2 linked regions of the Caenorhabditis elegans genome follow. The protein of the gene in region 1 interacts with the protein of each later gene in a biochemical or structural test. Each region holds a gene or a part of one and is shown on either strand. Other genes may lie near its edges.

What was found.
Region 2: the proteins of npr-41 (region 1) and nlp-13 interact in a test that uses a peptide from one of them, tested with the Caenorhabditis elegans proteins (one large-scale study listed by BioGRID).

Annotation. Positions count from the first base shown.
Region 1 is NC_003280.10:11,508,771-11,514,443, reverse strand, and holds npr-41 (G-protein coupled receptors family 1 profile domain-containing protein), read right to left. Parts: upstream 3,772-5,673; 5' UTR 3,770-3,771; coding exon 3,357-3,769; intron 3,074-3,356; coding exon 2,969-3,073; intron 2,647-2,968; coding exon 2,523-2,646; intron 1,688-2,522; coding exon 1,249-1,687; intron 845-1,248; coding exon 741-844; 3' UTR 552-740; downstream 1-551.
Region 2 is NC_003283.11:4,234,589-4,238,582, reverse strand, and holds nlp-13 (Neuropeptide-Like Protein), read right to left. Parts: upstream 2,166-3,994; 5' UTR 2,157-2,165; coding exon 2,096-2,156; intron 1,914-2,095; coding exon 1,780-1,913; intron 1,127-1,779; coding exon 1,034-1,126; intron 977-1,033; coding exon 851-976; 3' UTR 527-850; downstream 1-526.

The DNA.
Region 1 (5,673 bases):
TTTACTGTCAGTTTTGCTAAATTGGAATATTAAAAAATTGGACTTTCAAAGAAGTTTCGAGCATTCTTGCATGTTTGATCCCCTAAAATCAGTAAAAAAAATTTGTAATATAAACTTTTCGATTCTTTTTTTTGATAGTCGAAAATTGAGTGGTTGCCATTTTTTGACAGTGAATAAAAATGTTAACTTTTTTGTTTAATATTTAGTTTTTTTTTTAATTTTTAAAAGATATTTGCTGCATATAGTTTATGCGCTTTGACACATTTTTTGTGAAAATAAAACTATCAAATACAGTTCTCCAAGTGTAAACAACCACTCAGATTAATTGAAAGATGTGCATAAGTAATTTGGCAAGTCTCTTAACTAATTTCCGCTATAGATCACTGAGCTTTGAACATTTTTCGTCATTGTTTTCATTCAATAATTAGCGCCTATAATTCCCCGATGACCCCCAATCAAGCTTCTCTATTGACGTCTGAAAATCGTCAAATTCCATCCAAAACACACCTTTCCCCTTCACGTCATCACCATTCACCAATCATCAAGAAATCAAAAAACAATACCGATTTATTCTCTGTCTCCGAAGATCATCATTCTAATTACAAGGACTGGAATCAAGGTAAAACCCGTGGAATAAAAGTACATATAAAGCATGAACCTAGTAATACATATATGTATGTGCAAAATGCTAGGAATGAGGGAGAGAACCCGTGTATCTGATTTGAGTAAGCAAGTATGATCTAGACATTTTGAATGAGGTGAGCATGATGATCCTCAAGAGATGTCACATGTGCCGAGCTGCTCTTTGTTTGTTTCAGATTGATTTGGAATGGATGGTCGACTCCTGAAAATTGGAATATATTCAACTTTAGTTAAAGCATGAAGTAGGAAATTATGTAAGGCCGTTTTCAGGCCCTTTTTTCTCTTCGTTATGTTTAAGTATTTTTTTGGAAATTTATATAGAAATATAGAAAAATACTTGTACTTTCTAAAAATAGTTTCACTTTTATATGAAATTTGTAAAAATTTGCTCAAGAATTAAATCAAATATCGATATATCAAATGGCATATTCACTCGACACATTGCGACTTTGAGTCAATTTTTGAGCAATTTTTTAAAATTTAAATTTGAAAAAGTCATTTTCAAATAATTCAAATATTTTTCTATATTTCTTCTTACATTTCCAGGAAAAAAACTTCAACACACCATGCCGAGCGAGCTCGACAAAATTTCAAAATGTTGCTCACCTTCAAGTTTGTGCAAGAACTTCTTCAAAGTCTGTTTCATCAACGTTCGATATCTCTTTGACACAACACAATACAAACAGAAATTGAGTGACGCATTCAGGAATACCAGTTGTTGGCTCAAACATACATAAAGTATGGCTTTTGGATGATACTGTCCATACATATCGAACAGAATTCTTGCAGGAGCCTGAGGTCCAACACAGAAGAAAAGCATGAAGACGACTGCGAAAAGCATTGCATTTGCTCTCATAGTTCGGTTGTTATGAGCATCATGCTGAATCAAACCATCGGAAAGTTTGGTTTCTTCGTATTTTCTTGAATCTTCATCAACAACTCTGCGAAGAGTGAAGATTATTCGAGAATTCATGTAGAGAAGACCAATAATTGGGAGGACATTGAAAGCGAATAAAGACACATAGTCCATTGTTCGGTAGTAAATCTGGAAAAAAATTGGAAATTTATGAATAAATTTGATTTGAAAAATACAAAATATAAAATCTAGAATTTTTGAATTGAAAATTTTTTTCAAAAATTGTCGAGATCTAATTTCCAGCTTGTTTCACAAAATTCCTTTTTTCTCATGGTTGTCGAAGTTTTCTTTTTAAAAACGTATATGGAAATATAGAACAATATTTGAACTTTCTGAAAATAACTTTACTTTTAATGAACATTTTCAAAAATTGCTCAACTACTGCCTCAAAGTCACAATGTTCTGATCGCACATCACATTGCAACTTTAATGGCATTTTTTGAGCAATGTTCCAAAATCATATAGTAAAAGTAACATTGTTTTCAGAAAGTTAAAATATTACTCTACATTACTATATTAATTTCTAAAAGGAGCAAAACGATACATTAGTTCTTATGTTGCAAGTCCCATCAAAGGTCCCTAGATAAATTTCCACCTAAAACCTAACTGACTCATAATTACCTATCATCTTTTTGACCTCTATTCTCCCGCCATTTTTCCCCTGCTCAGCGAATTACTATAGAAACAAACAATTAGTCATTCCAGTCACAAACTGTCAACTAATCGGGTGTTATGTTTACTTCTCAATGTGTTTGTGCAAATCCGATTTGCTCATTTTGATTCTAAAAATAAATTTCAAAGATTCCTACCTCCCCATCTTTCTAATTTACCTTCTCCAAACAGTAAGTAAAAGCTTTTCTAATTACAACAAAACTCAGTGGCGGATATCAAGTTACTACTTTGCGCCACAATGCCATTGGAAACGAAAAAAAAAGAGTGTAGGAAAGAAGAACATGGTAAATACCTGAAGAGCACGGTTTGTCGACATTAGAATCACGTAGTAGTATTGATTTGAATTGCTTTCGAAACAACGAATTGTGTCATAGGCCAATGGCCATTGAATGGAGCACAGGAATGAGAGCACAATTCTGGAATTAATCGAGTTATGCCAAGTTTTGTTATGCACACATTTTAAACTTAAAACTGGAAGGAAGATTTTTTTGACAAAACAAAACACTACAAATGTGCAGTTTTAGATTTTTGAAATTTTAATTTAAAGTTTTTGTAAATTTCCAAATATTCCAACAATTGGACTTTCTGCGTAACTACCATAACTCCTGGATCTTCAACTCCCTGGAATTTCAAAATACACACAATTTAGAATCATAACTTCAATTAACCAAAACTGTTGACCCAGTTATTTCTTATAGATTTACAAATAATCCCGCTAAAAATAGAACCCCCACTTACGCAGTGGCAATCGCATTTTTCGAGTTTCTTGAAGTACACCATCGATGCGAGTTTAGCGGACAAACGACGCACAGGTAACGTTCAATGTTGAAGGCCACAACAATTCTGGAATACTTGCAAAATTGAAAAAAAGTATTAGCGAAATGTGAAATAATTTAAATGCTATGTGGAAATGGATTTGAGTCGTTCGATTATATTTTGAAATGAAGGTTAAAAATAGCTTCAAAATCTTAAATTGAACAACTATGTATGAAATAATCAAAAAATAGGTCATACATGCCTATATACATGCCTAATTTTTTCCAAAATTTGGCAGTTTGCCAAAAACTTACTTTTTGGAATATTACGACCTTAAAATAAAATAAAATTTCAAAAAACTAAAACTTACAAAACACTGCTTTTGTAGAAAGTTGATGCCAATGTCCGAATATAAAGCACAATTCTTGAATAAAAATGATTGAAAGAAGTGGAAAATGCCAGTGATGGAATAGATAATGGAGTTACATCCAGAGTAGCAAATATCAAAAATAAGCTATCACATACTGCGAGAGCTATTAAAAGGTTCCACGAAGGGATTCGGCGTGCTGTTTTATTCGAGGTCAGCACCGCCATATTAAGTAGATTACAAGCCAATCCTATCAGAGCAATCACGGGTAAAACTGCCACGTTGCTCCACCAGACAATCGAAATCGATTGCTCATCGTGCTCATGATGGGTGATATTGGAAAAGTTGCAAAAATCATGGGATCCAATGATTTGTTCAGATTGAGAAGCACCTTCCAGGGTGATTAGTTCGTCCATCTGCAATGAGGAGGTCAGCGAGAAAAATGGAAAAAGTGAGTGATTGACAACAATGCAACGAGTGAAATGTCAAAGTGTAATTATGATTACAACCAGCTTTTGCTACCATTTACACGCGCCAGACAATGAGAAAAGTGATCGCGGGCGGGAGGGGGAGGAAGAGTACAGTTTTGATTTGTGTTACGAGTTCTCAAGGTGAACATGAAAAAGGAGGGGATGGAAGGTCATGAGATGAGTGATAATGTTGCAGAAGTAATCTAATTAAATATTGGGTTTTTTTCAAATAAAACTAGAGAAAACGGCAAATTTGCAGAATTTGGAAAAGGAAGTATAGTTTCCGCTTTGGCCAATTTAACTGGAAACATCAAAAAATTGTCAACTAGCAAAATACATGGAATTTAAGTTTCTATACTAAGTGGGTTAGTTTAGGGATACTGTAGGAGTAATGTGGGAGCACTGTAGTACTGCAGGGGTACTGTAGTACCGTATGAGTGCTGTAGGATGGGTTTTTGTTAGGGTTTTTTTGTTTTTTTAAAGGGTTTTTGTATTTCAATTGAGGAACAGTTGGTTTTGGTAGAGAGATAGTACGGGCTACTGTATACTCTAGGGATACTGTAGGGTTACTGTAGACCAGATAGAAAGATAGACTGTCAATAACTGTCAGAGTGTGCGACAAATGTTTTGATCAACCAAATAGTTACCAATTTTCAGCCACATTATAAAGCCAGAGTGGTCAAAGCCAGACCACCCATACTGCTTGGTTCCTGTTGATTCAGGAACTTTATACCAATTTTTTTAACATGAGAAAGTATCCTAAGGAAATAAGTAAAGAAAACGTTTCCGCCAAGGTCAGACGATGTTTGTGCAAAAACGGAATCATTTGTCATTCTGAGACGGATCTTTAGACTTTATATTCCTCATAGTATTTTCAATTTTTCGAAAGATCAACATTTGATGCTTCTTATAGATCAACTGACAGAAAAATTTCGTCAAGATTGAATAAATTGGGTGAATTGATTTGACGTATGAGGAAATAGATCAAAATGTATAGGTAGCCTGGAAAGAAGGCACAAACCATGGTTTTAGGTAGGAAACGGATAGGGAGTTCTTTGATCGAGAGATCTTACTAGCTAGTTTGATCTTACGCAACTTCTCGACCAACTTTAGGATCTAGGCTTCTAGGATCTAGAGAAATGCTAGTTGCACAAATTGGTTTTACAAACATTCTCACTTAAAATTACAGAAAACTGGCAAAATTTGGTTTAAAAGTTCCTAAAGTTGCTAAAGTTTTTGGCAGAGATCTTACGGCCGAATGATAGGAAAAAAATTCAGTGAGATTAAGAAATCATACAAGAAACATGGCACGTAGGCACGTAGGTCTGAGGATGAGTTGAAGCAGTAGATATAATCAGAGATAATTTTATAGTAGAAGACAAAATGTTTCGCCCCTGGTTTTCAAATAAGTGAAATGACTGGTTTTTGAGGTCATAATATTTTGGGTCTACAAGATCACAATTCTTACCCTTCTAACAATAAGAACTAGATTCCAAAAAAATGGCGTGCCCCTCCGCTCAAAACCACCAAAACCTAGATGCAACTTTGAGACTCCAAAATTATGAAATAGTGTACAAAAGTGGTTACGGTCATCGTGGTGCACTTCAAAGGACAAACATTCCGGAATAGAAAAAAAACTGAGAAAAAATAGTTCAGAACTAGTAGAAGGTTTAGATGACACATTGAATCGTGAATATAAAAATGGAAAAAGGGGGAGAAATAAGAGAGTGAGTGACCAGCGAGAGAAGGGGAATCAATAGGGAAAACGGAGGGGCCCCCTCTCTTGTAGTGTATGTATGAGGGGACGGTATATGTGCTTTTCGCAAAGGACTTTTGTTTGTTTGTTTGTG
Region 2 (3,994 bases), on another chromosome or scaffold:
ATGACAATTTAAATATTTTATTTTACAGACTGATTTACATTCAATGTTTTTATGTTTGAAAAAAAATCATTTTTAGTCCATATCCATATAATTGAAAGGATAACTTTACTTCAGTTTCTCCTTTTTTTTGCAAAAATTTTATATCCGGCACACTTTTAAATATTTTGAGATTACTTCGAATTTTATTGCCTTTTCTTGATGTGTCTACTATTTAACTCAATCTATGTCCTTTTAGCACGATAAATTTGTCACCTTAGCCTAGAAAACTGAAAAGTCACGGTTTTGATAATATTTCCGGAGACGTGCTTCCGTTTGACGTGATCACCCCTGGAATAGCAAGGCTTAATGTTTCCTTGTTTATTTTCAGAATTTTTTTTAAGGAAATCTTTAGTCATAGAGCAATTGTGCTGATTTTGAGCGAACATTTTTAAATGTTAACGATTGGGTACAGTACCAGATTTTTGGTTCAATATTAGATAGTTTCTCAACAATCCTGCTGCCGAAATCCACATTCTCAAAAATCGGAAACATGGTCTAACATTCAACTTCATTTTTTTTCGTCCGTCTGCGCACGCACATAAGAAAAAGGTGGGGATGAGAGGTTTTTTTGGGGGGAGGTTGAAATGAATGATGAGATCATAAGTAGGGAAGCATAGAGAATTGGCAAGAGAAGAAATAGACAAAGATCCGAATAAACTGAACGCTTGTTGAATGGGATGAAGGGGGTGAAACAACACAATTTTCTTATTTCAAATGAGATGAAAAAAAAATCAAATTACGCTTTAAAATGAGTCTTAAACGAGTATTATACACAAGATGAAGGGTGCCCAATTGTCATCAACCAAATGGTTTACTTGCGCCGTCCGAAGGCCATGATCTGACGTTCGTAGTCCTCGGCCCGCTTTCCGAATGCCATAATCGGACGATCGTAGTCGACGGGTGAACGTTTGCCGAATGACATGATGTCACGGTCGTACTGTAGAATAGATGGATTACGGAAACGACGTAGAAAATAAGAAAAAGAGGGTAGTACCATAGAGGAGGATCGCTTTCCGAAGCTCATGATGTCTCGCGAGAAGTCGCTGGGAGCCGATCGTTTGCCGAATGACATGATGTCTCTGTCGTACTGAAATATGATAGGTTATTATGTATTTATCATAGTTGGGGTGAGCAGCCGACAAAATTCAAGTCTCGCGGAAAATTATGTAGTCTACCGCGGCCTAATTTAGCGAAGTAGTATCAATTGGTAACATGACTGGGTTAGATTAAAGTAATTTGTTTTACTGTAGTGTAATGTGTAGTTTGTAGTTTTTAGATTTTAGTTTGAGCCCATCACCGAGATCCTCAAGGATCATGCGCAGCCGAGGTTTGCGAGCAATTCTACAAAATGAGACAGCGTGGCATGTTTTCTTAATATTATTCATTGAAATTCTGTTATAGAATATTGATTACTTAAATTCAAGTATCGCGGAAATGTAGTATCGCTTAAATTTTAATTGTTGCAAAGGAAAAAGTACTCATAAAAATGTCTGAAAATTGTAAACTACCGGAAAAGAGTTTTGATTAATTGTCGGACTTTTAGACATTTTTTGGGAGTCTTTTCAATTGTTTCAATTGAAATTGAAGCTATTCTCAGATAAATTAAATACAAAAAAAATATTGGGAGAACATGGCTCATTTTATATAAATACATGGCACCTCAACTACCACTAGTTACTATCAGATTACGGTAGGATTACTGTACTTTTCTAATATATTGCCCAACTTCCACCAACTTACACTTGGTTGTCTCTTTCCAAAAGCCATAATTCTCCGATCATACAAGTCGGCTGTGTTTCCAGACCTCTTTCCAAATGACATGATGTCACGGGAGAAATCGTTGCGCTTTGCACTCTGATTATCGTCACGACTACCTTAAAAATTTTGGGAATTTTGGGAATTTTGGAAAGTGTTCAGTTGCAAAGATTCCGCTGAGCTGACATCATTTTTGAAGCTCAGAGGATTTTGTTACAATTAGTCAATGAAATTAGGAGGAAAAGGTTCGAATTTCGCCTTTAATGTTTGGTTGTTTCTGATCAAATGACACAACACAAACCTTGACTGTATGCCATTGCGATGGCGGACATGATGCAGAAGATCTGAAGAGATCGTTGCATGTTGGAACCCTGGAAGAAAGAATTTTTTAGTGGAAGTGATGGTGTAAAAAGTAAAAGGGAGCATCCATAATGTATAAAATTATGGAAAAAAATAGAAAAAAATGTGGACTTCTAGTTAGTTCAAGTTCAAGAAATCTAGTCTAGACCGAAGCCCTTGTTATTTTTAAAAATCACATGAAAGAGTCTAGCTTAATTTCACACTAAGCTTTTTCACAAAAATTGATGGTATCGTTCTCTGAAACACCAGAAAATTTTAAAACATCCCGGCTGCTGTTCAACAGCAAAGTGTGCTGCTCCAAGAGCATCTCAATCTCAATAGGACACGCCCTTTTCCTCCTCGCCGTTTTTTTTCTCGTTCTTGACGTCATAAAAAAGAGGTGAACCTATCAATCTTGAAAGCCTACCGTAAATGGAAAAATGAGAAAATGAACGAAATTATTCAAAATGACAAGTCAAGAAAAAATGGTAGAAGAAGAACAATGAGAGTTTCCATGGCTTGGTGGCTTCTTTAATAAGGGTTTTCTTTTGTTTTTCGGGGAGCTGATGGACAAAAACCAAGATTCACTAATTAGGAACGTCATTAGACATTTTTTACTGTAAAAATCTAGCATAGTGACTAACATTTTTTGAGATTTTTGACTAATGAGATAGCAGATTTTTGTTGTAGGCTGTATGATGAAAACGTATAGTAAAAAAGGAAAATTGACGACGAAACATGACGAATTTGAGGGGGGTGGGCGATGTTTGAGATATTTTTGTTGAAAAAAGTTGAAAAAAACAAAATGAGTGAGTTAAAAAAATGGAAGCAAATATCACAGAACACCTTCAGAATTTTTTTTTCATTTTGAGGAAGTATTTCGAATAATTAAAGCTATAGCTTCACGGGCGAACGCAATTCGTCGACTGTACAACTATCCTATGTGTAAGTTGGCACTAAGTTTTCTTTTAGATACATTGAGCTATGACGTCACAAACTACAAACTATAATATGACTTTCCATATTTTTTAGGAGTTTCCAGAAGATTGCAAGCTTTTCTAGAAATTTAAAAAAATTTCTAGATTTTTCAAAATTTTTCTAGATGTTTCCAGAAACTTCCAAAACTTTTCAAAAATTGCTGAAACTGTCCAGAAAATTTTCAAAGCTTCCCGAACTGACTCGAACTGTTTTTTTTTCTAAGAATTTTTCGAACCTTACTAAAATTTCTAGTTTTTGTCCAGATTTTTAGGAGTTTCCAAAAAATTGAAAAAAAAATTTCAGAACCCAGAAGTTTGCATATTTTTCCAAATTTTTATAGATGTTTCCAGAAGTTTCGAGAGCCTTACTAAAGTTTCTAGTTTTTTTTTCCAGATTTTTCTTGATATTTCCAAAAGTTTTCGTGAAATTCCAGAACTTTTCTAAGATATCTGAAACTTTCCAGAAATTATTGAAACTGTTCAGAACTTTAAAGAAAATTCCAGAAATTCTCTTGTTTCTGTGGCAATTTGAATTTCGCGTAAAATTTTTTTTCCCAAAAAATTGGATCTTCCCGCTAAATTTAAAAACTATATACAAACGTTACAAACAAACGAAAAGTGAAATTCTGAACTTTCTTTTCCTCAAACAGAATACCAACTCCAAATCGGCTACAAATCCCGAAAAAAGGGAGCAATATCTAATTTCGGATAAGAGGACAAAAGACCAAGAAAAGACGTAAGGGGGTATGAAGTTACAAGTTTAGGGATTCCGTTAACGAAAAAACTGAGAGAGAAAATAGTTTGTATAAATGTTTCATGAGAAAAAAATGTAGACAATTGTTAAATGGTGAGAGAATAGCCTCATGAGGTTTAAGGGGAATTCT